Caenorhabditis elegans: one gene and its partner. The protein of the gene in region 2 purifies or fractionates together with the protein of the main gene of each other region. This does not show direct contact. Each region holds a gene or a part of one and is shown on either strand. Other genes may lie near its edges. The genes, in order: islo-1 and slo-1.

Evidence for each region.
Region 1: the proteins of slo-1 (region 2) and islo-1 purify together in Caenorhabditis elegans (affinity purification with western blotting; one study listed by BioGRID). This does not show direct contact.

What each region holds. Positions count from the first base shown.
Region 1 is NC_003282.8:8,133,727-8,149,155, forward strand, and holds islo-1 (Interactor with SLO-1), read left to right. Parts: upstream 1-2,662; 5' UTR 2,663-2,871; coding exon 2,872-2,874; intron 2,875-3,106; coding exon 3,107-3,224; intron 3,225-3,634; coding exon 3,635-3,839; intron 3,840-4,045; coding exon 4,046-4,361; intron 4,362-4,715; coding exon 4,716-4,846; intron 4,847-4,897; coding exon 4,898-5,198; 3' UTR 5,199-5,366; downstream 5,367-15,429. Other genes in the region: isp-1 (Cytochrome b-c1 complex subunit Rieske, mitochondrial), read right to left, coding at 430-504, 1,109-1,185, 1,238-1,493, 1,539-1,600, 1,645-1,788, 1,833-1,950, 1,998-2,054, 2,273-2,314; Mitogen-activated protein kinase pmk-3, read left to right, coding at 6,520-6,771, 7,255-7,400, 7,451-7,535, 7,834-7,943, 7,989-8,136, 8,310-8,916, 8,998-9,074; Mitogen-activated protein kinase pmk-2, read left to right, coding at 9,785-9,889, 10,487-10,572, 10,622-10,810, 11,316-11,427, 13,327-13,404, 13,456-13,570, 13,899-13,970, 14,020-14,116 and 2 more; Mitogen-activated protein kinase pmk-1, read left to right, coding at 15,080-15,228, 15,273-15,429.
Region 2 is NC_003283.11:18,485,314-18,500,742, forward strand, and holds the start of slo-1 (BK channel), read left to right. Parts: upstream 1-6,992; coding exon 6,993-7,147; intron 7,148-7,817; coding exon 7,818-8,028; intron 8,029-8,233; coding exon of another isoform or gene 8,234-8,278; intron 8,279-9,703; coding exon 9,704-9,822; intron 9,823-9,978; coding exon 9,979-10,081; intron 10,082-10,242; coding exon 10,243-10,354; intron 10,355-10,676; coding exon 10,677-10,999; intron 11,000-11,928; coding exon 11,929-12,237; intron 12,238-13,221; coding exon 13,222-13,530; intron 13,531-14,268; coding exon 14,269-14,381; intron 14,382-15,237; coding exon of another isoform or gene 15,238-15,350; intron 15,351-15,429. Other genes in the region: Y51A2D.18 (Major facilitator superfamily (MFS) profile domain-containing protein), read right to left, coding at 1-38, 1,593-1,800. UniProt on the Caenorhabditis elegans protein: Potassium channel activated by both membrane depolarization or increase in cytosolic Ca(2+) that mediates export of K(+). Its activation dampens the excitatory events that elevate the cytosolic Ca(2+) concentration and/or depolarize the cell membrane.

The DNA of each region.
Region 1 (15,429 bases), on a different chromosome or scaffold from region 2:
ACTGTAGAAACATAGAGAAACGAGACAATTTACTCGACTGTGACTCCTCTGTGGATCAAGTGCCGATTTTTTCGAGGACAGCGATGTTTAGGAGACGCAGAGAATGCCATGACTGTTCTATTTGCCAAGTGGGTTATTTGTATTGGTTATGCTCCGCCTCATCTAGAGAACCTCTTAAATTACGTTTATTCATTCTGCAATGAATTTCGAACAGGAGTGCATTCGGGATCCTAGAAAAAATGGATAAAAACGGGGAAATAATAAAAACAGGCAAACACTAAATAGGACGAAAAATAAACTTTATCTGCCAAGAATACGACGTAGAAAGAAGGGAACAACTACTTTCACAGGAGAAAACCACACATTCGATTAGGAGACGCGAGTTTTCAAAGTGGGGACGGGGAAACTTTTGCAAAAAAATCTGAATATTTAGCTCGATCCAATGACGATGGTGGCATCCTTGAACGAGTATGCTGGTACGTGAAGATTCAATGGAGCTGGTCCCTGGAAAAAATGAAGATTTTGAAAAAAAGATCACCTTTACATTTTTGTGAATTTTATCAACGTTAGGGTGACTTGAAAACATTTTTAATGTCAAATTTAGAAATATAAACACTTTTTTCCGCTATTGAAGTTTTAACTTTTTTTAAATTTTCAACATTCTGAGAGCTTAATTTATGATAAAGATTTTCACGTAAATAATTAGGAATTCAAAAAAGAATTGTCTAATTACTTTTCCTACGTTCGGAAAAAAACTGATTTTCATCAAAAAAAGCGAACTTATTTACTACTCTTTTATTCCGTTTTTTTTAATAAAAAAAAAGAAACTGTAAAAACTAGGTATTTATTTAAAATTATCAAAAGCTTTACTAAGAAATACCAAAATTTACCGTAATAACGGTTAGGATAGGACTGAACTTTCGTTCGTTCCAGAAGATATCTTCTTGTTTTTGTTTAAATTATCTCTCTTTTTATAAAATTTTAAGAGAAAATTACAATTTATCATTAATTATATCAAATCGCGAACTTTTCTTCAATAAATTATGAAAAAAAATTATAAAATTTGAATTTTTCAGATTGTACTACATTTAGCAAATAAATGTCTTACCTTTCTAATACGTCCAGAAGCGTCGTAGTGAGATCCGTGACAAGGGCAGTAATAACCTCCGTAATCTCCAGCATCGGCTGAAAATTCAAAATATGATTTCAAAAATTCAGGAGAAAAAAGACTGCATACCAATTGGGACACATCCAAGATGGGTGCACACTCCAATGACAACGGACCATTCATCTTTCTGCACACGTTCGTCGTCATGTTGTGGATGACGGAGATCGGCGACAGGGACGGCCTTTTCCTTGGCAATCTCAGCCTTGGTACGATGTTTGACGAAGACTGGCTTTCCACGCCATTCGAATGTCTTTGTTTTTCCTTCTGGAATATCAGCCATGTTGATTTCGATCGAAGCCAAGGCACGTTGATCAGCTGCCATAGCCTGGAAAAATTAATTTAAAAACGGTGTAATGGAAATTCAACATACTTTGTAAGAAACAAGAGTCTGTACAACTTCCTTTCCGGCCCACAAAGATAGAACTCCTCCAGCTGTAATAAAACAATGTTTAGACCGAATAAAAAATAATTCGAACCTCCATAATACAGAGCAGTTGGAAGAGCACGACGTTGATCCTCGGTGTCACGGGCTGGCACTTGAGTGTTCTTTGTAGAATCACGACGATAGTTTGACATATCGGGGAATGTCACATCAGTGTGAGCCAAACGGCGAGAGGTGACTTAAAAATTAATGAATTAATATATTAAATTCAATTTCAAATACCATTGATTCCCTTGACAGCAAGTCCATTGGTGAAGACACCTCCGGTGCTGTGACTAACAGCGGCTTGACGAGCTTCAGCCGTGGAGAACTCAGCTGGAACATCGCGGAAAGCAGCGACCTGGATACTAGACAATAAAATAATATTCTGCAACTTTAAATACTTACATTATCGGCGGCTGGTGTTGCGGCAACAAAGTTTACATGTTGCTGGGATCCGCTGATCTGAAAGAAAACTATTTATAAACTATTGGACAAAATTTTAGAACTGTAATCGATATCTTAATCATTTCGACACCGTCCAGTGTTTTGGAACGAGAATAGTTTAAACAAATACATTTTAAACAAAATTTTCGAACGCGTTTCTCGCAAAATATGATTATTTCTCGAATTGAATAGATTATTGGAGTGTTTTTCTTCATATTTGTTCAAAAAATACTTACCACTTTGACTGCAAAACCTCCAGATCTAGCAAGAGAAGCCATTGCCCCAGTTGATGCCTAAAATAATTATTTTAAATATTTTTAAGTTTTTGAAAAAAATAAAACAATTTTTAAAATATGAGAACGGCTAAATTAACAGATCAAGGCAATGAACAACTGAATAAAACGTTTTCAAATTGATGAATTTTGCCGAAATTTGGAATTTTAAAGAATTAAAAGCTGAAAAAAGGCTAAAATTGGGACAAACTCAACGGGCGGACTGTCTGTATGAAGAGACACAGAGAAATTTTCGGCACGCGTCGCCCTCCGCATCGTTGTCAATAGGGCGAACATGCATAGAGACTTTTCCGTGTGCTCAGACGAGAGATTCCTTCTCGTTTGTAATAATCGTTGACAGCAGCATCTCAATTTCAAAATAATGACGCGGGTACGGGTACTAGAGGCCGTTTTGCCCGCACAACACTCGGCGACAAGATATCCGCCACCAGCTGTGAATCGGATGAAAAATACAGAAAGTCGTCCAGCTTTTATTTTTATTCCTGCTCAATAATACAATTTATATTCAGTTCTAGATTTTCTTATTCAAATAATTATTCAAGATGGTAAGTGTTTGATAAAAGATGATCCACACGATGAGGAAATCCACGAAAACATCTGTTGCCACAACCAACACTCCAGTTGACACACCAAACTATTTAGAAAAATAAATTGAGAGAAAAGATGTGGCTGTTTGATACTGCTCTGCGGCACGAGCTCAAAGAGTTGTAATCAAGGTCCAATCGAGTCGTGCCGAAAAGTTTAGCCTTTCCTTCTTCCGGACCTGATTGGTTTCAGATGGGAAGTAAAAGAGGACGCGGCGCGGCACCGTCGAATCAAGAGCGCGTCCGCACACATTTATTCTTCGGATCCAAAGCTGAACGACCACATCAAAAGCGGAAGCGGAGAGCTCAGAGTGGGTTTTTGTGTGGAAATTTGCTTTAAAAAAAGGATATTACGTAGACGTCTAAAGATGATGATTTTTCCTATATTTTACACACAAAGGTCTTGCCACGAAGACGAATTACTGTAATATGGTATCGATTAACAGGTCGTTGAAAATCTTCGGACATCTTACAAAATTTTTAAAAATTACAATTAAAATAAAATTCAAAGAATATGGTACAAGCGGCCCATAAATCGATACCAGCTACAGTAATTATAACCATCAAAGCAATACTGAGAAGTAGTAATTTAAATTGACTTTATGGGTCTCACCACGATGTACTGAATGTAGCACAGAATATAGAGTTGTTGTATTAAATATAAGGGGTTTTCATGTCAATTTGATTCTAAAAACTCATAAATATTTTCGAAATATTAAAGACAAGCTTCACGTAACTGCAAAGGATAAGAAAGACGAAATGGTTCAAGCTGGTGCAAGTGAGATTGATCCTCAACAATGGACTGGAAATCAAAGAGTTCTTCATTTTGGACCAATGGCTCAACGTGATCCATATTTCTATTATTATCCAAAAGGATGGGATATATTGTATCCAGCAACATTTGGATTTTTTCCATATAGAACATCGTTAGTTTTTTGATAATTGAAACTGTAAGCTGGAAATATGAGGGTTGAATAGCTCAACTAAATAACTCGTAGATTATAATTTAATGGAGTATGTCCTAATACATCATATTCAACGCGAAAATTCAACAGAGACGCAGAAAATATACATCAAGTTACTTTATCAAAAATTTAAAAAAAAACCCTGAAAAAAGCATTATTTTTTAAAGAAAATTTCGTGGCTCGTCATCATTGATTTGTTGTACAGCATTCGGCGTTTTTCTCCTAATTGGAGGACTACTAATGTCACTTCTTGGATATAAATACCTTTATACTTCACCATTCTGGACTTGGCCATACGAACAAAGAATACGACCACCACCAATTCAAATTGCGGGTCCTATTTTATTTGGACTCGGATGTTCGTTTTTGATAATTTCATTAATCTACTTTTTATGCACAACAAAGCTCTGTGATCTCTCGTTACACCACACAAAGAAGCACAATGATCCTGCTAGGCTTACGACTATTACAACACATTATGTGGTAAGTCTTTTTGATTAATTGAAAATTCAAATTCAATTAGAAACCCACATGTCCTTGTAAAAGTTGCGACTACACCTTTGAAAATTTCATGAAAGTAATATAAACAATTAAAGCTAACAAATTAACGTCTAAACAAACTCAAAATGATCGTACCATAATTTAAAAAAAACTATTAAAACATTTTAGATTTCTGAAAATGGCATAGTTTTGGTAAATTGCCAAATTAACCGAAACAGCAATGTGTTTGAAACCTTACAAGGCTTAGATACAGTTCACTAGAACGAAGAATGTAGGTAATAATGCGTATCAATTCAAAATCAAAATGTACCCATTTTAGTTGTTACACGTTTACAGCCGCTACCTCCGATCTTTGAGAAAGATCCATATCAACCTCTACCTCCACCTGCGTACCCAGTTCTTGAGAATCGACACGCAATGTCTAATGTAGTTAAGCCACACGATGAAAAGAAACTGTATCCACCAGTGTAAGAACTTCATTCAAACCGGAACAAGATTCTGTAAATCTATAATTTCAGAATTCCTGGATGTTCCACACTTTCCCTTCATAGACGATCTCCGAATAACATTTTTGTAGCAAGTCCATATAATACCCTAAGAGCTACAAGCGTTGGAAGATATCAATCTGGATTCCTTGACACGAATTCAATAATGGAAAATCGGTTAGGATCAAGGCAGCCGTCAGTTGCAAGTAGAAGACAATCAAGTGAAGCTTCAAGTCAAAAAAGATCCAAATCAATGGGACCTTTACATCGAACTAACTCCAATCGAAGCAAAGGATCAGGAAGATCAAGAAGGAGAGAAAATAGTCAAATATAGACATTGTTTTATGATGTTAACCAGATTTATATTGTTTTTTTTTAATTTCAAAATTCTGTATCCACAAAGATCAACCGAAAAGGAGATGAATAATTTGTAGATATTTTAAAATATTTATCTACAATAATATTTTCCATCAACCAAATAAAAAATTCGACCTTCGCCCTTTGTATGTCTTCCTCTCGTTTCCCATTTTTCACTGCGTCTCAATCGCTGCTGACTCATATCTGATTGACCTCACTGTTTCTTCCAATTTCCTTGGTCACTGATAATTATACTTCCGTCTTTTTTCAGTTTTCTCCAGTATTTTTATCATAACATATACTCAAAATCAATCAATACAGGAACGTCTAGTCTACAACTTTATTATAATAACAGGTGAGATATTTTGTTTTTGGTAAACTTCATAATAGTGGAGCGCTGAACAAAAGACGAATTTTCTGATAATTTAAAATTGAAATGAAATATATTATTTACCCTTTATAATTAACTTTGTTTGAACCTAAATATTGCTCATATTCGAACAAACACTGTACACTTTTTTACGAAATTCAAAGAGACGCTACTCAGTAAATAAACAAGAAAATATAAAACAAACTGTAGTGCTCATCTCAATTTAACTGAGCTCACAAGTATTTCACCGATTTTATTAATTACAATTGATTGAGCACCCGAATCTTTTACATAATTTCATGGTAGTTTTGCACCTTTTTTGCATAATTCCTCTTATGGGTCTCGCCATCAGAAAAAGTTCTGAGAATTTTTTATGATCCCTCCATTCCACAATTAATGAAAAAATATTTTGAAAATTTCACAAAAATAGACAAAAACGAATAACATTTAAATCTGACTCTTTGAGACCCAATTCAAAAATATCCATGTGTCTTTAAGTACGCGTTACAAAAATTGCGAGAGAACAATTACTAACAGTTCAAATGTAAATAGATATTGTTAGTAATTGCCAAAACTATGGGAAATTCTTCTATTTAATCTTCATTGATTGAGTTGATTTTTTTGTTGATAAATTCAAAATTCCTAATATTTTCTAAAATATCGAATTTCCTAAAGTTATAGTGAATCCGAAAACCTCCAAAAGAAAACAAAGTAGTGACCATAAACAATAAAAAAATCATTGTTTCACAATTTTTACACTTCACTCCGCAAAAATATAGGTCGCTTGAGTGTTCGAGTTTACATGGCGTGTTTCGCAATAAAACTTTCATTTTGAAATCCCCGACACTCCTCTAATTTCCCCCGACAACGCTTTTCGTTATTGATTTTTTCACTTCAAGCCCTAACTTGAACCCATTTAAATTTACAGATGGCGTCAGTCCCATCGTCATCTAGTCTCCCAGTGTCGCATGTCCGTCGTCATGAAGACGTGTCAACACCAAGTGCACCACCAACCAAACGAAGTAATAATCAATCTCAACCTCCAGAAAGCTACGAACCCAACACCTGGTTGCAACAACAACGAGAGCAGGAACAACAGAAAAAGTTAGCTGCAGAGAATATTAAGAAGCAGAGTATCGAAGCAACGGGAAACAACGAGATGGTTGGGGAGGAGGAAGAGGTGAGGGAGAAAGATTTTAGATTTCGTAAGTTGACGAAAGTCAATCCGCGCGTTTTGTTGATATGCGGAGAATCATAAAAATGATAAAGGTAAAGCTTCAGTATGACTTTAATCTAAGAAATCGACCTTAATACTCTAAAAAGGATGGAAATAAAACATTCCATAATTAATTTTTTTATAATTGTCAAAGTTTCAAAACTAGCTTAATATTTGTAGAATTGACTAGAATTGACATTTTCAGAAGAATCTAACCCCGCGCACGCATAGCTCATTTTTTGAGAAGTTTTTTCTACAAAAATTGCAACACAAAATTATTGCGCCGTCTTATTTCCAAATGATAAAATTGGCACGTGTACTAGAGACCAAACCAAATAGGAAACTGGCTATGTAATGCCTCAGAAATTTAGCTTTACAGAAATAAACATTGTTGACAATATTGCAACCATAGGTATTCCAAAATCTTAATCATCATTATATTTTCAGGATATTCTCTCAAAACCATGTGGTCCACACAAACGACGATTCCAATTTGTGATGATCCGTAACATTACATTTGCAATTCCGGAAGGCTATGACGTCGAGCCAAACAGCATTGAGTATTTGGGTGGAGGCTCGTTTGGAAATGTTATGTATGTTTTTCAGTATTTGTGTGCTTTATTTGAATGATTATATTTTCCAGAAAAACAAGTGCAGTGTGCCGTGACGGGCTTCGTCGTTATGTTGCAATAAAGAAGATGCGAGAACCGTTCTTTGATCCACATCATGTAAGACAAAGATACATTTTTATTGAAGCTAGAGCATATTTTTTACAATTCAAATGAACTAATATCGTATTAAAAATTTTCGAACTTTTTCTATGTACAGTCAAGAAGTGGTGATTCAAAATTTTGGGGCAAAACCAGAATTTTAAAACTAATCTTGTTTTCTGTTTTCGTCTTTTTTTTTGTTGGAAAATTGCCAAAACTTTAGAAGAACATTTCAAAAAGCTGATATTTGGTTTTTATACCCATTTTTGAGAATATATTTGGTCGATCACATCCTTTGAACACCTTAAACTTCCAGGCTCGTCGCATCTTCCGTGAAACAAAACTTCTTCAATTAATGAGACATGACAATATCATCTGTGCTCTTGACATCTACACACCTGACGAGGAAAACGATTTTCGAGATGTGTAAGTAATTACAAAAAAGTTTTACAAACAATCTATAATTTTCAGATACGTTGTCACTGAATTTGCGGGTCGTAGTCTTTATCAGATCTTGAAGCAACAAAGAGATTATGGACGGCGCGTGCTGACCGACGAGCATATCAAATTCATCATTTATCAAATCATACGTGCACTTAAGTACATTCATTCTGCTAATGTAAGTCAATGGAGTTAGTGAACAGAACATTGCTCATTCTTTTTTTTTTAATAGAAATATCAGCATTTTAGATTAAATAAAATTTCATATAGGAGGATTAGGCACGATTAGGCCATAATTAGTCAAAAAGAACATGACTAAAACACGAAAATATATTTATTAAAATTTTTTAGATTATACATCGTGACTTGAAACCAGGAAATCTCGCGTTGACCGATGATTCTGACCTCATGATTCTCGATTTTGGACTTGCAAGATCCTTGGAAAAGAAAGATACTTCTCTAACACAATATGTACAAACAAGATGGTACCGTAGTCCAGAAGTCATTTATTGGAAGATTGATAGTTACACAAATCTGGCAGATATGTGGTCACTTGGATGTATTGCTGCAGAACTTTTAACTGGAGAACCACTGTTTCCGGGTGATGAGCCCAATGCTCAATATCAACGTATTACTCAATTATGTGGAAGTCCTGATGAAGAACTTTTGACAAAGATTGAAAATGATAACTCGTCTGCAATTAAAGCCGTAATTCAATCCTACACAACTCACAAACGTCGAAATTTCCGTGATGTATTTTCTGCTCATAATCCATCAGAAGACTTTATTGATCTACTTGAGAAGCTTTTAGTTTTGGATCCAGAGAAGAGGATTACGGTGGAAGAAGCTATTCAACATCCATATTTGGCAGAGTTTTCACTTCCAGAAGATGAACCAAGAGCTGATCATATATTTGACTTGGATGACTCTCAAGCTAGAACAAGATTCGAGTGGAGAGGTAAGGCTCAAAGATCACGTAATAGAATTCTGCACACCTGCAAATTTGAAAAACAACAAATGCAAAAATATTTTATTACAGATGCCGTCTGGAAGGAAATAATGAACTACAAAAGACTCAGCTCATCACCGTTAATCCCTGGAGAAGCAGATCGCTGATTTCATTCAATTATATTAATTGTATATAATTCCGGAAATGTATTACTTCTTTTCCCTCTCTCTTTCTCGTCTCTTTGTCGTTCAGTGATAGCAACACTTTACAGGTGATAATGATGTTTTCCATCTTCTCTTTCAAATTCTTTCAGAGTATTTATTTTCTTGCATTCTATAGCTTCTTCCTTTTATGTCTCTGTCTCCTTCTCTCTTTCTCTTTACTTCTCCATTTCTCTGAATCTCTTTGTCTCGTTTTTCTCTCATGCTTTTATCCCATCATATTTTTTTATATTCGTCATTCTTGTCATTGCACCCTTACACATACTAATTAGTTCAATAAACTTATTTTCTTTTGACAATTCGTTTTAAAAGCTTGAAGTGTTTTATAAAAAAGAGATTGGTTCTAATCCGTGTCACTCATATTTTACACGAGCTTATATGTTTAAAGTGAGATTATCTGAAAATTTCTGGAATTTTTTTAATATAAAAAGCATAGTTTGACTTGACAAAGTTAATCCTGAACTTCAGCTTAAAACGTTTATTCAATTAGCAGAAAAATTCAAACATTTAAAAAATGTGAAATAAGATTGAATTATTATTTTGGAATACCTATGTAGGCAATTGTCTGCCCTTTTTCGAAATATTAAAACTTTCGTGCAAAAATGTAAAAATTATATTTACAAATTCAATTCAAACTTTTTCTAGATGTCTTGTTGATGGGGATGTCGGCGACCATGGGCGATTCAGCCAGCATTCCCGGTGTCTTTTTTGCCGATTTTGGTCCTGCCCCGCCTGAGATTACTCCAGAAGGATATCATGAGGTATAGTTACAGAAGAAGATTTTTTATAGTGTAGTGAATATTGTCTAAATATACTAGAATGAGCTAAAAGAAATTTTGCAAATTACAAAAACCCAATGAGTTAATTTTAGATTATTCATCATTTTTAGTCAAAGTTTTGGAAAATTTCCAAATTTGCGGACTATTTGAAAAAAAAATTAAGATTTTTTTAATCACTTGAACAAAAATGATTTTATAACGAAAGTCAGGAGAGATTTTTTTTGGTCGGCTTCCAAAATTTTTTTTTTGAATTCCTTTTTTTTTTTTGAATTCTTTAAAAAAATCCAATGTTTTCTTAAAAGTAAAACACAATTACTCATTTTTTGCACTATGGAAGTATTTTTTAATCATCTTCTCCCTGTTGCGCTACTCCATTTTTACAGTTGCCAAAATAAAAATAACTACAAAATTCACGAAGATCATAGGATATGAGACATAATGTGATGGTGATATCATTGGAAATAAATATAAATTGTCAAAAACTATAAATCTATAAATTCATAATAAAAAAAAACTATAAATTCAACTACATATTTTCCTTTTTTATTTCATTGCAATTTTTAGTTAGATTATTTGTAGGTCGAACTAAACAAAACGAAATGGGTCTTACCTCAATGGTACAACAGTTTGAAGCCTCTAGGAGAAGGAGCGTATGGAGTTGTATGGTAAGTTACAAAAATTGAGATATATCTAAAATCTGACATTTTTTTGTAGCACAGCAGAATATGAGCCAACTGGAGATCGAGTTGCAATTAAAAAGTTCTTTCGCCCATTTCAAAGTACAATTCACGCAAAACGAACCTATCGGGAACTGAAACTTCTAAGAACTCTACAACATGATAATGTATTGGAAATGATTGATGTATTCACACCAGATCCAGATGCATCTTCTTTGAATAATGTGTGAGTTTCGGATTGTTTAGGGGAATAAATTGCTTCTCAAGAATATTTAAGGGATTTGAGAAAAAAGAGGATTAGATGATGAGAGAATAGAAAACCCGGAACAAGGTAGAAAAAGTTTGAGAATTTGAAAAGATTAGACTGGAATAAAGTTAAAATAAAATTGAATTCAAAAAATGAAAACATTTTCAAATACAAAAATAGTATATTTTCATTTTTAGTGAATAATTGCGGATTTCAACGAATTCAACGCATATCTGTCAACTCTTTTTTATATTTCGGAAATTATTCAGCCAGGCTCGGTAACTTGCCAAATTTTGAAAAATAGTGGGGCTTCTGAAAAATTTGAAACGAAATCAAATCTTTAGTTAAAATACTATGACATAATTTTTTGAAATGGTTTAGTCGTTCCAACAATTACTGACACTACTCCGCGCGCTTCAAAAAATACTGAAGAAATTTCGAATAAATCCAAAAATCTAAATATCTGACGAATTTACAATTTCAGATATTTCGTATCCGTTCTGATGGGCTCCGATTTACAAAATATTATGAAAATCCAACGACTGACCGATGAACAAATCCAACTGCTTATCTATCAAGTGTTACGTGGGCTCAAGGTATTATTTTCATTCCCTATTTCTGGTTATGTCAGCACTCAAACCCTATAATTTTCGTATCTCCTTTTCTCGTATTTTCTCAGGTTTTTACTCATATTTCACAAAATACGATTTGCTTTAGAAAGGCAATATGAGAGATATAAAACAAGTTTTCAGAAAATAGAAAAACAGTAGGGAATTTTCAGAATAAATTATTTTTAAGTGTTCTCAAACTTTTTCCCCAGTTTCGATGCCTGCGTCTCTGCATCTTGTTTTCCTGCAATTTCTAATTAAATTCTGAAGACGATTACTCCATCCTTTCATTCTTTTTTCTCTTCCTTTTTCTCTCTGATAGATGCATTTTTTCGATTAGGCACGGGTCAAGAGATGAGAATGTAGAAAGCCACTTTTTTCGGCCACTGAAAAGCCTTCAAATGTTATGCTCCAGCGGCTTTTCCAAACACTTCAAAAGTGATTTTTATGGAAAAATTATAGTTTCACTGTAATGCGACAGATTAGTTTTTGAATGAAAATATAAATCACAACTTTTTTTTTTAATTTCGTAGTTCTTATTACATCCGAAGATTTTAGACAAACCAGTTGAAAGCTCAATTTTTCTCGTTTTCTCTCTTGAGTTAAAATGGAAAACCAAATACGCAGAAATGATATATGAATGTGACAGGTTCTACATGGAACATTCATTCTGTTAGACAGAATACGAATGAATTCAAAGAAGAGTGCATTTTCGTATTTTTTGCCATAAATTGTGATTTCGAAGCATTTCGACAGTTTTAAAGAATTTAAAACGTAGTTTCTTTTCGAGTTTTGACATTTGAAAGTTTTTTCTATCCGTAAGACAGTGCCTTACTCCAGGGTACGGTAACGGATTTGCTCATACTTGAACCCGATGCTTTTCAATAAAATTCCATATTTTTTCCCGATCCGGTAATGTGATTTTCGGTAACATAAAATGTTTAAAGATAATTCCATTAATGTGAAATAGTCTCATAACAAAAATCTCAACTTGAAGATCGTTAGAATGCCCAGCTCAAACGTTTAAGTTTTATTTACAAGGAAATCTGAACATTTGGTTTCTGTCTGAAATTGTATCTGTTTTTAAGATACACGCATTTATCCGATATTTGGATACAATATATTTCCAATGACATACGTTCAAATCTAAAACAAGAGTTACCTTGCATTCCACTCTCTCACTCTATATACCGTGACCTATGCAATACCATTTGTGTAACCTCCTGCGTATCTCAATCACGTGTACTATCTCATAAAATAGTGATCGATGAACACCTTGTCTCCTTTATAATGCCAAATACAACATTAGGCTAAACACAGGCTGTTTTCTATCCATTTTTTGACTTTTTTCTCTAAGTTTCCTCACATTCAATTCTACTACGGTTTTGTTTCATTTTTCATGATAAAAGTGGTATGCTGGCAGACTATTGTTTACATAGTACACACTTCTTTTTTTTTTCTTTTTTTGTTGAAAAAAAATCTTTTGAAAGCTTTTTAAACTTTTTTCAATCTGAAAATTAAAAAAAACATTGAATTTTGCGTTTTGTGGTAATATATTTAAAATATGAGCTTTTAAATTTATTTTCTGTTTCAGAGAATGGGAAAACTTCTTATAAGAACAGATTTTAACTTGTTGAACATTAAAATACTTTTTAATCTAAACAGTTTGATGTGAACAGTTGCAAATAACGCTTCAGTACATGAGTCACCAAAATTTCAATTCAACTATTATTCTGAAAAAATTAATGCATCCTTTTCAAAGAAGAAACACACGTTTTAGGCTGGTTAAATCTTACAACAGCTTTGTTTCAAATATTTCTTCCAAAAATTCTTTGATCTTTTTCTCCTAATACTCTTTTACATTCAAATATTTTCCTATTCTTGCAGTATATCCATTCGGCAGGGATTATCCATCGCGATTTAAAACCATCGAATATTGCTGTCAATGAGAGATGCGAAGTCAAGGTTTTTCTTAGTTTTTCTCAACTTTCTTTCCTAATTCTTTCATTTTTCAAGATTCTCGATTTTGGATTGGCTCGTGCTCAAGACGCCGAAATGACTGGATACGTGGCAACAAGATGGTACAGAGCTCCAGAGATTATGCTCAATTGGATGCATTATACACAGACTGGTGAGTAAATAAAAGAAATTGGTTTCTATGCACTTAAATAGTCACCTAAAATCTTTGAACTAAATTGTTAAATATCATATGATTTGAGGTTAACTTCTGACATTTTGAAAGCATGTTTCACCTGTTTCTTGTAGTTATGCTAAAACGTGTGAAAATATGAAGAATAAACTTTGACTTGATATTGGTATTTCTGGTTTCTGCAATTCTCTCTCTATTCCAACTTCCTATTTTTTCAAATAAACGAAAAACTTGATATATTTATCACATGAAACAAAAACATCATTTTTTTTTACTTCTAAAAATGTTACCAAAATATTGAATTTTTCAGTTGATGTTTGGTCAGTTGGATGTATTCTTGCGGAACTGGTATCCGGGAGACCATTGTTTCCAGGCGATGATCGTGAGTTTTATTCTATTCCTCTAATACTTTAAATATTTAAAATTTGCAGATATTGATCAGCTAACAAAGATAATGTCAGTTGTGGGTACCCCAAAAGAAGAATTCTGGTCCAAAATTCAATCAGAAGAAGCTCGAAATTATATTAAGTTAGTGTTGCAAATACTTCTGAAATTCAATTACTAGACTAGAACTGAAAAAAAAAATAAATCGTTTACGCAAAAATCTTTCAGAAATCGTTCTCCAATTATCCGTCAGGACTTCGTTACATTGTTTCCAATGGCTTCTCCATATGCTCTCGAACTTCTCGAAATGATGCTAATTTTGGATCCGGACAGAAGAATTTCTGTATCAAGTGCTCTTCGTCATGACTATCTTCGTGAATACTCTGTGCCAAATGATGAACCAGTTGCAATGGATACGGTAATAAATAGCATAGTACGAAATTTAAGTTCGCTTCTCTAAAAGTACTCCAATTTTCTTGTTAGGTCACAATTGATCCAGCTGAAGAACGAGCAACAACGTTATCCGACTGGCGAGAGTTAATTTGGAATGAGATTCGATTATTCCAAAACTCGGCACGAAGACTAAGTTTTGTAAGCTGTACGGATACGGAAGAAGAGCCAATGAAAATATGAAGTCAAATGTGTTCAAGTGCTAAAATATCTCAAAACTGTGGAATTTTCTTTTTTCTATATTGTATCTCCCTAAACTATTTATTTCACTAAAAATCAAATTTGTGTCCCTAATTCCTTGATCTCTAATTATCCAACAATCGATCTCAGATGTTCTTTTCCACAAAATCTCAATTTTTTCCTTTGAAACCATAGACTTGTGATTTACCTTAACTTTCTCGTTAATCCTATAAGTTGCCATGACCTCAGAGCCTCTTTTAATTTATTATTCATTTAGATTCATTTATCAAATTGAAGTGTATAAAGAATTAATGTAAATATTCAATTTTCTAAATACTCTTAAACATTTAATCGGTTCAAATTGCCGCTTAATTTTTATATTTACATTTATATTGGTTTTACGTACACAAAAAAATCATATTTTTTTCAAAATAATTACTTCAAATCTTACAAACATGATTCCAGGTAACGGAGCCAATGTTTCCACAGACAACAATGGATCATATACTTCATCCGACTCCACGAGAAGGATACTATGTCGTTGAGCTTAATCGAAGTGTCTGGGTTGTTCCAAATTATTATATTAACTTGACTCCAATTGGTACCGGAGCATATGGAACTGTTTGGTATGTCATTTCAACTGATTTTTACTTTATTTTTCGATTTTTAGTGCTGCTGAATGTACTCGCTCGGGGACTCGCGTCGCAATCAAAAAATTCAATCGTCCATTTCAATCAATAATTCATGCCCGTCGTACATATCGTGAACTCCGACTTCTTCGTTGTATGTGTCATGAAAATATAATTGATCTACTTGATGTCTTCACT
Region 2 (15,429 bases):
TACGATATTGTCGCAGGAGATGACACGTGGCGCCGCACCTAAAAATATTGATTTTTCTGGTTTTGAAATAATTTTAGGAACATTGGTTTTGCAATTTTAAAATGAAAAATGTCAATAATTTTTATCAAATTCTGAAAAAAAAAATTTCAGTGAAATTTTATATTTTTTTCGGATTTTTTATCTAACTAGGGAATGACCAGAATAAGTGGAGCGATATTCAAAAAAAAAAATTGTATCGGAAAGCTGACTTTCTCTACTATAAGAATATGACTGAAATTTTTGCCCATTCTGATTCTGATGCCGTATCAAGACGTTTTACAAAATCGATATTGGAAAAACACCTTGTTTTTGAGACTCCATATCTCTGCAGGAAAAAATCGCACTAAAAAGTGATCAACTGAAAACTTGTTAAACACAATGTGATCTGAAACTTTTCAGTTGAACACTTTCTTGTAAAAAATTTGGTTGCCAAGATATAGACCTTTAACTATTTAAAATATTCAAAAATAATGAAGCTCAAATCAATTGGTCCCAACTCGGCAACCAAATTTTTTAAAAGAAAGTGTTTTACTGAAAAGTTTTAGATTACATTATGTTTAACAAGTTTTTAGTTGATCACTTTTTAGTGCGATTTTTTCCTGCAGAGATATGGAGTCTCAAAGACAAGGTGTTTTTCCAATATCGATTTGGTAAAACGTCTTGATACGGCATCAGAATCAGTGATTCGGTCATTGAAAACAATGAAAAATAAGTTATTTGTGACACTCTACATTATTTCATACATTTTTGAAAAAATTTCAAAAAAAATTTTTGGATCAAATTTTCGCATGGGTTTGGTGGAGAAAAAAGTGGCAATTTTCGAAAAAATAAAAATTTCTGAAAAGTTTCCAGCCCGAATGGGCAAAAATTTCAGTCATATTCTTATAGTAGAGAATGTCAGCTTTCCGATACAATATTTTTTTTTTGAATATCGCTCCACTTATTCTGGTCATTCCCTAGTAAGATTTCCTTAAATATTTTTCTAGTAAATACTGATTTTTTATGAAAATTTTCTAGATTTTTCTACAAAAACTTAAATTTCGAAAATATTCGAAAAAAAAATAAATTTCGAAAATAATATATTTCGAAATATAAAATAAAATATATACAATGTAAAAATTGGAAAAGCTTAATAAAAGTAATTTTTAATGTTAACATTTCTAAGATTTTCTGATTTTTTTTAACTTGTGAAAAAATTCTAGAATGTTCCTGAAAGTTACCTAAACTTTTTAAAATTTTCTGAAAAATGCTCATAAATTTCTTTACATGTTCGGTTTTTTTTTGTTTTTGCAACAATTCCTAATTTTTTAATTTTTTCAGTTTCAACAGCTATCTAAAATATTATGAATTTTCCAAAAATTTTAAGATAACTTTTTTAACAATTTCTAAAAAATTTAGAACTTTCTAAACTTTTCTGAAAATGTTTTTAAAAAAATTTTCTAGAACATTTTTAAATTTCTGGAAATTTTTTTTAAAAACATTTAAATTTATTTAAATTTCAACAATTTTCTAAAATTTTCAAGAGTTTTGCAGTCTCAAAAAAAAATCAATACCTGCATACATCATATAAAACATAGACGATACTTGCGGTAAAATCAATAATTCTGCGGCCAAGCACACCAGGAGCACATACTTGCCCATTTGAATATAGTCGTCGAGCCCGTGCACTTGCTCGGGCTCTTTTTCCAGAAATTCCAGTTTTGCTCCATTTTCAGGAAGATTTATAGAGTCTTCTGATGAATTACTCGACGTAGAAGACATTAAAATAATAGTATTCGTAGTTTAAAAATTTTTTGAAAAATACAAATTTTCAAAAAAAATTTAAAAAAAAAAAGAAGTTTTTCCAAAAAAGTTCAGAAAAACATTAATCGTCTGCAAATCAAATTTTCGATACCATGATCATTATCACCCCCGTCTCCTGCCTGCCAAATAATCATTTTCAAACAGGTTCTCTTCGGGTGATCTACTAATTGATATATCATTGAAGGGCATTCAACTGATAACTGATGTGATGGCGAGATTGGTCGGAGGTCAAACAATTAGGCCTTTTCCGTGGAAAATTGGGTAAAAATTGGGTGGAAATTGAGTTTGTTTAGGTGCATTAATATTGAATATCGATTTTCTTCTGAGTTCTTACAACAAAAAAAATGTTAAAGGTGGTGTAGTCGAATTTTAAATGTTTTTATTAGACTTTTTATTAGAAAAAATTAGACTACACCACCTTTAAAATTTTTTTCAGAACTCACAATTGCCTGAAAACACCGAATTTCATAATGAAACTTCTTGAAAACTTCTCAAAAAAAAATATATGACTAAAAATTTGAAATTTGGCTTACTTGTCAATGCCGCAGCGGCTGGAAACAATATTTTTGAAATCACCCTCTAATTTTCTGGGTATAAATGTATTTTAAAGTTGATGGTTTTGTATACTCAAAATAAATTTGACGGCACTTTCAAAAAAATTAATTTCCAGCCGCTTGAAAAGTCGGTCAAATTTTATAATTTAACTAATTTTAGGCAATTTTTTTTAATCCTTCATAACCTTTTTTTGAGAAGTTTTCGAGAAGTTTCATTATGAAATTCGGTGTTTTCAGACGATTTTGAGTCTAATAAATTTGAAAAAAAATTTGGCTACGCCACCTTTGATTTTAAAACGTATTTAAAAATGAATAATAAAACCATTTTTTGAAATTTTAAAAAAGTTTTTTGCATTTACTACTCTTTCTACTATACTTTTTTTTTGTTTGAAAAAGCTTAGAATATTACTTTTTCTTTTTGTACAAAGAATCTTCAAACTTGGCAATTTTTTGTTATTAGGTCTCCAAATAAGTTCCGGGTCAAAAATCATAACTTTTTTCGCCTTTTATCGGTTTTTTTGAAACTGTGGGAATTTATGTTATCAACCATGATCTTTCATTTTAAAATAATCACAAAATGTTTTGACCACCCGGAGTGCTCTAACTCGGAGCCAATTTTTTCAGGCATTTTTCTGACCTCGCTTCTTTGTAGCTTTGAGTTAAGGTTTTTGTGCGTATTTTGCTTTGTTTAAAATACATTGTAAAAAAACAACAAAAGTTTGGAAAAAAATCCGTCCAAAAAATTTTTTTTGGTAGGTCGTCAAAAAAAGTTGAAAAAATTTTTCTCAAAAATTCTTGATTTTTTGTACAAAAATGATGTAACCATGTGTGTATACCGGTTTTACACATATAGAGCATTTCAGTTTGAATTTTGGATCTCGAGAAAAACTCAAAAAACTCAAAAAATTCTCCGAAATAATTATGTTTCTATTATCATTTTAGTGTATCGAACTAATTTGAAAAGTTTTGTATGTGTAAAAATAGTTTACACATGGTTACATTATTTTTGTACAAAAAATCAAAAATTTTCGAAAAACATTTTTTTGAACTTTTTTTTGACGACCTACCAAAAAAAATTTTTTTGGACGGATTTTTTTTCCAAACTTTTGTTGTTTTCTTACAATGTATTTTAAACAAAGCAAAATCCGCACACAAGCCTTGACTGCCTAGAAAAATTGGCTCCGAGTTAGGGCACTCCGGGTGGTAAAAAAATGTTGTGTTTTTTTTTAATGAAAGATCATGGTTGATAACAAAAATTCCCACAGTTTCAAAAAAATCGATAGAAGGCGAAGAAAGTTATGATTTTTGACCCGGAACTTATTTGGAGACCTAACAGAATTTAAAAAAATCTAATATTCAACAAAAAAAAAAAAAGATTTTTTTGTTTCCCGTGTAAAACTTGTGTAAAACTTTCCAATAAAGTTATAATTTTCCGTCCCAAAATTCAAAAGATCAGCGAAATGTGTCTGTGTAAGAAAGAATCTGGATAAGTGTCAGTGTCCCGAAACATATTGCATCTCATTGGACAGGGGGTAGAAGGGGTACCACAGATACCCACACATCGGTTTTGAATTTCATAATTCTCTTTTTCTCGTTTTTCCTTATTTTTTTCTATTTTTCTCATGTTCTTCAGCATTTTTAAGATTTTTTTCAAATTCAAAAAAAAAATCTTTTTTCTAAATTTGCCAAATTTTTGAATAGCCTATCCCATTTCTAAACCTAAATTTGTTCTGATTCCAAAAATATCTTTTTCGCCGTTCTCATTACAAAACTGACCGAGTTACGGTCGTTTTTGCACATTACGGCGAGAGTGCGGAGGGTACAGAGAAGGCAGACACTCTGCCCGTCTGCGTTCTCCACTCTCTCGTCTTTGCGTGCAAAAACGCGTGTATCTTGGTTTTTGCTGCTAAAAATATAAGGAAAAAATATTTGTGATCAGAAAAATTAGGCGGTTCAGAAATTATAAAATTATATTTTTTTTTAAAATTATAAAAAAAATAAAAAATTTATAAAAAAAGAAATTATAAAAAAAATTTCTTTAAATATCCAAAAATTTATGTTTTAAGAACCAAAATTTTGATTTTAATTCAAAACTTTACTTTTTATTAATCGTATTTTAAAACAGAACGAGTTAGGCGAGAGAGCAGAGGGCGCAGAGAAACGAGACACTCGTTTGCAAAACCGCCCGTAACTTGGTTAGTTTTTTGTTGGGGCTTATGAAAAATATGTTTTTGAAATCAGGAAGTTAGGGTAATTCAGAAAATATCTAATAGTGAGTTGAATAAAAAATGTGAAAAAATTGTTTCAACATTTTTTTTTTAATTTCTAAAAATTTACTTAAAAATCCAAAAAAATAAATTTCCTATCCAAAACTTTTTTTCCTGACTCAAAAATTATATTTTTCGTCGCTTCTACTACAAAACAAATCTAGTCACAGACGTTTTTGACGAGAGAGAGTGGAGAGCGCAGACAGCTAGAGTGTCTGTTTTCTCTGCGTCCTCCTCACTCTGGTGTGCAAAACCGGTCGTAACTTGGTTAGTTTTTTGCTGAGACCTGTTAAAGATATGTTTTTGGAATCAGAAGAAAAATGTGATTCAGAAAACACAAAATTTAATAAAAATTTGAAAAAAATTTTTTTTTTCAATTTTTGAATTTTTTAAAATCAATTTTTTACGCAAAAAAAAATATTTTTTCCAGTTCCCCCAGCCTAAACATGTTAAATTGAATATTCCCAAAACAAAAAAAGTTCCTTCCCTCCCGTTTTCCGCCAATTTTCCAGGCAGCTTCTCCTCCTAAAATGAGGTCGTTGGAGACGCAGACACACATCTCTTACGCATTCCAAATGCTTCAGCTTCTTCTTCTGGCTCGCGGAGCACCACGAGCAGCAGCAGCAGCTTCTGCTATTGCCGGACGGACGGAGGGGTGTATTGATCCATCTCTCTGTGCAGGGAGGGAGGGGGAGCCAGAGAAAGGTTGAGGAGGGGGATGAGAAGAGAGGAGGGGGGAGAATGTGTAGTGTAACTCTTCTTTTCTCCCCCTTCCTCCATATATCTTGATATTTTTGCACACTCACACACACACACACGTTCTCCAGCTCCATACACTAACCCATTAAGTACTATGTGTTCAATTTTCTAATTCTCATAAATTTTCAACTTTTAATTTAGATTTTGATCTACTTTTTTTTGTTTGCAAAAATTGAATTTCCCACCAATATTTTTCTGAAAAAAATTGAATTTCCCCGCCAAAATTAATTCTAAGGAAATTTGAATTTCCCCGCCAAACTTTTTCTGAGAAAATTCAAATTTCCAGCCAAAATTAGTTCTAGAAAAATTTTAATTTACCGCCAAAATTTTTCAGAGAAAATTTGAATTTCCCGCCAAAAATTTTTTTCAGAAAGTTTAAATTTCCCACCAAAATGTTTCTCAAAAAATTTGAATTTTCCGCCAAAATTTTTCTAATTGTAAGAAAATTTGAATTTTGCGCCAATGTTTTTCTGTGGAAATTTGAACATTCCTCTAAAATGTTCCTCAGAAATTTTAATTTCCTGCCAAAATTAATTCTATTAAAATTTGAATTTCCTGCCAACATTAATTCTAGGAAAATTTGAATTTCCCGCCGAAATTTTTCTGAAAAAATGTGAAATTGAATTTCCTACCAATTTTCTCAGACATTAATTCCTTTTCCTAAATTATAAAATTATAAATTATAAATTATTAAAATTTGAATTTCCTGCCAACATTAATTCTCAGAACATTCAAATTTCCCGCCAAAATGTTGTTCTCAAAAAATTTGAAATTCCCGCCAAAATTTTTTGTTGAAAAGCAAAAAAAAAGTTGTTGTTCATTTATTTATTTTTTTCCAAAACTTGTGTTCCAGAACAGCAATTCATCAAGTTTTTTGCTGGTTTTCGATGAATAATGGCGGGGCTCCCTGTGGCATTTTACCATCGAAAAACCAGAATATAAAATATACCTATTATAAATCTGGAGTTTTGAGGAAATTGAGCTTTTGGTCGATGTACCATGTTCTTTTTTTTTTAGGCTTTTTGGCAAATAACTCATTTTTTAAAATTGAAGTTGAGCCATTTATGAAGTCAAATTCAGGCGGCTTTTTACTCCTAGATTGCGTTTAAAAGTCGAATATTGATAGAAATTTTCAAAATTTCCCGATTTTCTCGATGCACCATGTCCCCCAGAGCCGGACATTTTCAGTCAAAAATACGTGGGATACGTGAAATTTCCGGGGAGTTTGTCAGGAAAAATGACAGATATGTCTAGGCACGCTCTACGTCTCTACTATTTTCTCCAGCCTAACTGGTCCATTATGTTCATTTATTCGTCGGGAGGGAAGGCCTCGCTGCTCCGACCTAATTCTTTTCTCACTCTACACACTACTTTTTCCGCTTTTTGTCCCCACCACCACTAGTTTCTGGTGATGACATCATTTTTCTTCGTGAGAAAATGAGCATATTTTATGAGATTTTTAAACTTCTTTGGGCTTTTGGGAAAAGTTTTTTTTTTTTGAGACAAAAAAAAATTTCCAAAAAATTTTCAGACTCGCCGAAAGCCGTCGGGTGGACCCTTCGTCGACACGATGGGCGAGATTTACTCGCCTTCGCAGTCGAAGGGCTTCAATCAACCATATGGATACCCGATGAATTGTAACCTTAGTCGAGTATTCATGGAGATGACTGAAGAAGATCGAAAGTGCCTGGAGGAGCGCAAATATTGGTGTTTTTTACTGAGCAGGTAAGGAATATTGAGCTGAAACTAGTGAATTCGAATTTCTGAGGTTGCCAGCTTTCAATTGACCCCCATCTTGATATAATTTGATGTAGTTTTAAATTTCGGACGCGGCGCGGTCGCGTCGCGGTTGAAAACTAAAATTGTCAAATTTTGAAAAATTAGGCTTTATTAACTACAAAACTTCAAAAATTATTGAAAATTAATTCAAAATGAACTAATTCAAAGCAAGAGTAAACACTTTTGACAGTGGTGCGACCGCGACGCAACCTCGCCGCGTGACCCAAAATCTCAAAATGCTCCAAACCCAGTCAATATGGGGCTTATTTTGAAGCTAGCGACGTAACCAACATAAATAGTTCATTTTCAACAGGCCAAAATGGTCTGTTCTCAAAATTGAAACTTTGAAACCGCGACGCGACCGCTTTGCACCCAAAATCTCAAACGCCTCCAAAACTATCCAATATGGGGCGTATTTTGAAGCTCATGAAGCCACAAACTCAAAGTATCAAGTTAAAAGTGTCAGAGATAGACAATATTAAAAATTTGTTTTTAAAAAAATTCCGACCGCGACGCGACCGCTTTGCACCCAAAATCTCAAACGCCTCCAAAACTATCCAATATGGGGCGTATTTTAAAGCTCTCACTCTTCCAAATCCAACAAAAATATTTTCAGCATCACCACATTCTGCGCCTCAATGATATTGGTCGTAATATGGCGAGTGGTGACACACCTGTGCTGTCAACGCCGAGAAAAAGAGTTTGTGGAGCCCATACCTGCTCCGGAAGCCGTCCAAATAAATATGAACGGGTCGAAGCACGCGCCAAGTGAAACCGACCCGTTTTTGAAGCAACAAGAGGAAAAACACTTGGGATGGATGACAGAAGTGGGTTTTTGAACAAAAAAAATTTAAAAAAATACCTAAAAAATTCAAATTCCCGCCTAATTTTTGTTTATTTTAAGTTAAGTTTTGTCTATTTTCAATTTTCTACATTTTTTCAAATTTATGAAATTCAACAAAAAAAATTTCAAAAAAAAAACCGAAAAAAATATGCACGAAAAAAGTGGGCGGAGCTTGTTCTTATTTTTAGGATTCTCTAGCGATGCAGCTTTACAGAAGTATTCGGGACCGCAGGGCAAGTCCAAAAGTTTTCTGAAAAATTCACTGATTTTTATGGAAAATGTGGAAAATGTTCCCCCTTACCCCGCATTTTTTCTATTTTTCCGAAAACTTTCAGGAAATGTTTTTTTTTTTGCTTTTGTAGTTATCGCATTTTTTTTTATTATTTATTTTATTATTTGAAGTTTGCTGAATTAAAAAAAAAAAAAAAAAAATTTTTACAAAAATGAACCCCTGTGGGGACAATTTTGGGACATGGGACACTCCGGGACCATTTTCAACAGGAAATTCATACACTCCGTGAAATTTCCAAAATTTTGACACCCATATTGCCTATGCTCAGACAAATTTGAAATATGCAATGATTTCGGGCCGTTTCAGGCCGTTTGAGGCCGAATTAAGCCAAAATTACCAATTTCTCAAATATGATCGATATGGGGGTTGTTGAAACGCAAATTTTACGGAGAATTCGAATTTTTCAACTAGAAGTCTCGCAAAGTGACCCATGTCCCCGATTTGTCCCCACAGGGGTGCATTTTCTAAATTTTCACACTTTTCTCCCTATCGTAAATGTTAAGTCGTGTTAATGTGGAAATTTGCATGACCAGCAAAACCCGATTTTTCTCTATATTTTTGCATATTTTTTTCTGCACACTTTTTGGCCACGTGGAGCTGCACTTCTCCACCACCCGCCCACACTTTTTCACACTTTATTTTCGGGACTATTTTCATTTTTGGTAGATATGGATGGGATTGTTCTCTGAAACTAAAGGTGTGTGGTTATATTAGACTTTGTTTGGTTTTGAGTTTTCAAAAAAAAAATTTCAAAAAAATAATTGTTTTCCAAATTTCTAAAATTTTGGAATTTTCCTGAATTTTCAACGTCTGAAATTGTGATTTTCAACCTTCTGATTGTCAGCTTTCATTAAACACCTATTTTGACTAGTTTCCGAGCAGTTTCATTTTTGGTGCTTGCGTTGCGGTCGCGTCGCGGTTTTGAAGCGAAATTCGTCAAAACCTAGTTAAACCAAAATAAATACTCATAAATAAATATTATTTGCACTTGAAAATCAATATTTCAGTTACAAAAACTCATTTTTCACACTGAAACTTAACAACTAAATTTGCGCACGCGACGCGACCGCGCCGCGCCCCCAATTTTTCAAACTTATCGGAACATAGTCAATATGGGGGTCAAATTGAAGCTGGAAACGTCACAAATTCAAATTTCACAATGAAATTTCTCTAAATTAAATTATATTTCCGAAAATCTCAATTTTCATTTCAAAACATGAAGTTTTTTGTAGTTTTAGCGTTTTTCTCCGGACTTTATCCCCTGAAAACTAGAACCGAGTGAGTTTGATGTAGCCTACACCTGTTGAGAATTACCACACATTATTTGTTGGCCTATTTTTAAAACTAAATTTCACAAATTTTTCAGGCCAAGGACTGGGCTGGCGAGCTGATATCCGGACAAAGTCTGACGGGACGGTTTCTGGTACTTTTGGTGTTCATTTTATCGATTGGATCGTTGATTATTTATTTTTACGACGCTAGTTTGTGAGTTTGAGTGTTTAAAAAAAATATGCAAAAAATTTCGAAAAAAAATTTTCGAAAAAAATTTTTTTTTTATAAAAACTTTTTTCCATGTGTTTTAAAATAGTTTTAAAATAGTAACTTTATTATAGATTTCATAAATTTTTCAAAAATTTTCAGCCAAAACTTCCAAGTAGAAACGTGCATCCCGTGGCAGGACAGTCCCTCGCAACAAATCGACCTGGGCTTCAACATATTTTTTCTCGTCTATTTTTTCATTAGAGTAAGTTTTCACACTTTTTTCCCGGAAAAATTTGACTTTTTCATGTAATTTCTGATAACTTGAGCTAAAATTTGATAAATTTCGAAAAAAAAAACGTTTTTTTTTTTTTTTTTTTTTCAAAAACTTTTCCAAAATTTTCCAAAAAATAAAATGCATTTCAGTTCATCGCCGCGTCCGACAAAGTTTGGTTTCTGCTTGAAATGTACAGCTGGATTGATTTTTTCACGATTCCGCCAAGCTTCGTGGCAATTTACTTGCAGAGGAATTGGCTCGGTGAGCATTTTTGGACACATATTCGAACAAATTTGGGATTTTTTATTTTCCCATTTAAAAATCGAACTCCTGATGTTTTAAGCTTCAATTTGACACCCATATCGGCTATATTTGGTTGAACTTGAAATTTGGGGATAATACGCGACGCGCGACCGCGACGCAAGCAACAAAATTCAAATTTCTCAGAACCCAGCTGATATGGGGGTCATTTTGATGCTTACAAACTCAGAAATCATCTTAAAATCGCACGGATAACTATTTTTGAATAACTATCGAAAAAAAATTCAAGTTTTAAAAATTTCAAAAACTCAAAAAATTCCAGGATTCCGTTTCCTCCGTGCTCTTCGCCTCATGACCGTACCCGACATTCTACAGTACCTCAACATCCTGAAAACATCTTCATCAATCCGATTGACACAGTTGGTCACAATTTTCGTGGCGGTTTGTCTGACTGGAGCCGGCTTGGTGCACTTACTGGAAAATTCTGGGGACTTCTTCAAAGGATTTATAAATCCGCACAGAATCACTTATGCGGACTCTGTGTACTTTGTACTGGTCACAATGTCTACTGTCGGATATGGAGATATCTATTGTACGACGCTTTGCGGCCGACTTTTCATGATTTTCTTCATTCTGTTCGGTTTGGTGAGCTTTCTTTTTCAAAATTTTACTGGTTTTGAAAGGTTTTAAGTAAAAAAATTGAAATTTCTGTAAAATTTGCGTTAATTTAACATCCATATTGACTATATTATGAAAAATTGAATTTAAGGCTTTCTGGGCCCAAAATCGGCCTGAAAACGGCCTGAGAGTGTAACTGAAAGCTATTTTTGTCCTTTTAAAAAATGTGATAATTTAACACCCATTTTGCCTAAAATCCGAATTTTTCAAAATTCAGGTCAAAATTCAGAACCAAAGTCGGCCTGAAAACGGCCTGAAACATAATTTTAGGAACTTAGCTATTATAAGGGTTAATAACATTTTTCTTTAAATGATGTTGTTAACTTAACACGTATATTGGTCGAAATCACAATTTTTTAAATTTAAGGCCTACTTGGGCCCGAAATCGGGCTGGAAACGGCCTGAAAGCATGATTTTAGGAACCTAGCGGCTGTGAATTAAAATTACAGTTCTCCTTTGGAAAATGTTGCTAATTAAACATTCATATTGCCCATTATCACAAGTTTTCAAAATTCAACCCTATTTATGGCCGAAATCGGGCTGGAAATGGCCTGAAAGCATGGTTTTTGGAACTTAGCGAATGTAACTGAAAATTACTTTTCTGCTTTGAAAAATTTTGCTAATTTAACACCCATTTTGCCCGAAATCACAATTTTTCAAAATTCAACACTATTTAGGCCCGAAATCGGCCTGAAAACGGCCTGAACTGACTTTTCAGAACACAGTCAATATGGGTGTCATTGAAACGGAAATTTCACGGAGATTTCAATTTTGCTAGGTAAAACTGTCCTGTGTACCCGATGTACCCAAGTGTCCCCGACACTGTGGGGACAAACTCAAAATCCTTCAATTTACATCGAATTTTTTGATTTTTTCACTAATTCTCCAATTTTCAGGCCATGTTTGCAAGTTACGTACCAGAAATTGCCGATTTGATTGGAAACCGGCAAAAATACGGTGGGGAGTACAAAGGAGAGCACGGGAAGAAGCACATAGTGGTCTGTGGCCATATCACCTACGATTCGGTGTCCCATTTTCTTCAAGATTTCCTACACGAGGACCGTGATGACGTGGATGTCGAAGTGGTGTTTTTGCATCGTGTCGTGCCGGATTTGGAGCTGGAAGGCTTGTTTAAGCGGCATTTCACAAAAGTCGAATTTTTCACGGGGACTGTCATGGATTCTCTGGATCTTAGCAGAGTCAAGGTACACTTTATTTTTAGCTTAAATTTTTCTGAAAGAACGCAAAAATTTTAAAAAGTTGCATCAAAAATCAAGTAGAAACCTTCAAAACTGACTGAGTTATGCGACTTTTAAAAAAGTTACCCCTGTGGGGACAATTTTGGGACATCTGGCCTCCTAGGCAATTTTTAAGCAAAATATACAAATTTTTTACAAAATTTCCGTAAATTTGACACCCATATTGGATAAATTCTGAAAATGTGGATTTCAGGCCAATTCGGGCCGGCATTGCGCACATGCAGGCCTGAAATCGAAATTTTTGTCAATGTTGTTGTCAAATCAACGTTATTTTTGTGAACACCAATGAACCTCATTAAAATTTACCACCCATAGCCACTAGATTATTAAGCCTTGGGCTTTGGGCCGAATTCGGTCCCATGAAGGCCTGAATCGCAAATTTGGAGAGCGGGTGTCAAATTTTTAAACTGATTTGATAATAAACCAAGTTTTGACATCCACATTGGCTATATTCTGAAAGTTTTGGGATTAGGCCAATTCTGGGCCAGTTTAGGCCCTGGTAGGCCTGAAATTGATATTTTGCCCAATTTTGGTGTCAAATCAGCGTGATTTTTGTGAAAACTACTGCAACTTATTAAAATTTGTCACCAATAGCCACTAGATTATGAAAACTTGAGCATTAGGCCGAATTCGGGCTGATTTCGGGCCTATGTAGGCCTGAAACGGAAATAAACCGATTGTTGTCGATATGGATGTCAAATTTAAGGAAATTTTACGAAAAAAACAAATTTTTGAATAAAATTGGTCTCAGAATGTCCCATGTTCCCACAGTGTCGCCAGGCTCCGGAAAATTTTTTGAAAATTTTTGTCTGAGATCCATATCTCAGGCAGTTTTTAAGATTTTCTTCTTATTTTTGTCTTAAAATATTGCTAAATGCCTGAATTTTGTGTCTGCAACACAAATTTTTATGAAAATTTTATTCTTTCCAGATCGGGGACGCCGACGCCTGCCTGGTCCTTGCCAACAAGTACAGTACCAATCCGGACGCCGAGGACGCCGCAAACATTATGCGTGTAATTTCGATCAAAAACTACTCATCGGACATCAGAGTTATTGTGCAACTAATGCAATATCACAATAAGGCCTACCTTCTAAATATCCCCTCCTGGGACTGGAAACGAGGTGATGACGTCATCTGTCTCGCGGAGCTTAAGCTCGGATTCATTGCTCAAAGCTGTCTGGCACCCGGATTCTCTACGATGATGGCTAATTTATTTGCAATGAGAAGTTTCAAAACGGTAAGTTAAACAAAAATTGTTGTATTTGTGTTTTTTTCTAACCAAAAATTGCCCGTAAAGCATGCACATGGGACATCATGGGACACTTGAAATTGCAAAATTTGAAATCTACACAAAATTTTGATCGAGATTGGCCTTTTTTTTTAACTTAATTATTTTTTGAACTTTTAGGCCGATTTGGGCCGTTTTAGGCTACTTCAGGCTTTCCCAAACTTAGCCTATAAATGTGGTCTTACGAAATTTGGAATCTACACAAATTTTTAATCGGAAATGACCTCCATATCGGCTAGCTTTAGAAATTTTCGATTTTTGGGCCGAATCGGGCCGTTTTAGTTCGAGTTTAGTCGCGAAAAAAAATTTGTTGACTTTACAGTTTTTTTTGTTAAGATTTTGCCAATTTGACATTCGGACTTGCTCTTCTTAGTGAATTTAGATATTAGGCCGAAAGTAGGCCGTTTCAGGCTTTTTGTGGGCCGAAAATCTTTCCCGTTTAAATATAGCCAATATGGGTGTTAAAATTTAGGAAATTGGGTGTAGAATTCAAATTTTCAAGTTTAAATGTTCCATTTTCTTCTGATTTTTCAAAAACTGAAATTTTCAAGAAAAAATTTCAAAAATTTATTTTTTCAAAAATTTTATAAAAGAATCTGTGTTGGTTTTATAAATGTGTTCGCATTGTCTATGTCTAATCTCGCCTCACCTAACACCTACATCTAACCCACCACCCCATGTTTGCAGTCTCCTCACACCCCTCTCTGGCTTAACGACTACTTACGTGGTGCCGGAATGGAAATGTACACGGAAAGTCTGAGTCCTTCGTTTGCGAATATGTCATTTCCAGAAGCTGCAAAGTAAGTTTCTGAAAATATTTGGGAATTTTGGGAGAAAAAAATTTAATTTTTTTTCAAATATTTTTTTCCAAACTAAAAAAATAATTCCAAAATTTTTTAAAATTAAATCCAAATTAAAATTATCAAATTTGTTAATCTATTTTCACAAAATAACACAATTCCGAGTAATTTAACACCCACATTAGCTTTTTTCAAAAAAATTGTATTTCAGGCCTAAAATTCGGCCTACTTTTTGGCCTAAAATCAAAATTTTGCAAACCATGCCAAGATAGGTGTCAAGTACTATTGAAAGTAAATTCTTTATAGAATTTCAGTTGATTTGACAGCTATATTGAATGTACACAAATTATGAATTTTAGGCCTGAAATCGGCCTAAATTCGGCCTAAATCCAAATCAGAAAATTTGAATTGTGAAAAAATCAAGTTTTTCACCAACAATTGGGTTGATTTGAGACTCATACTGGGCTTACACAGAAAAAATGGGTTTTAGGCCCAAAGTAGTGGCCTAGAGTGGCCTACTTTGGCCTGACGCCGGAATTTTGAAAAATAGGCCAAAACTGGTGTTTTGGCTTAGCCAAGAAACTTGATTTTGCATAAATCTCTAATTGATTTGAGACCCATATTGGCTTCACAGAGAATTTTGGATTTCTGGCCCAAATTAGGCCGATTCAGGCCTGGTTTGACCCGAAAACGGGCCACGCCGATATGGGTGTCAAATTTTGCGTAGAATTCAATTTTAATACTAACAAATCTTAGTGAATGCGTTTTTTGTCTAAAATTGTCCGTTTCAGTCCGTTTTTCGTGAAATTTTCTTCAAAAATTTCAGAATTTTTTTTTCAAAAACCAAAAATTATAGTCACAAACCACACCGGACTGGCTGAACCTGTACCTTTGCGGTGCCGGAATGGAAATGTACACCGACACGCTATCCCACTCGTTCGTCGGAATGACTTTTCCTGAAGCTGTCGAGTAAGCCGAAGAGTGCTTTCTAACAGCTTTTACTACTAACTTTGACGGGAAAATTAAAAATTTTTTTAATTTTGCTGTA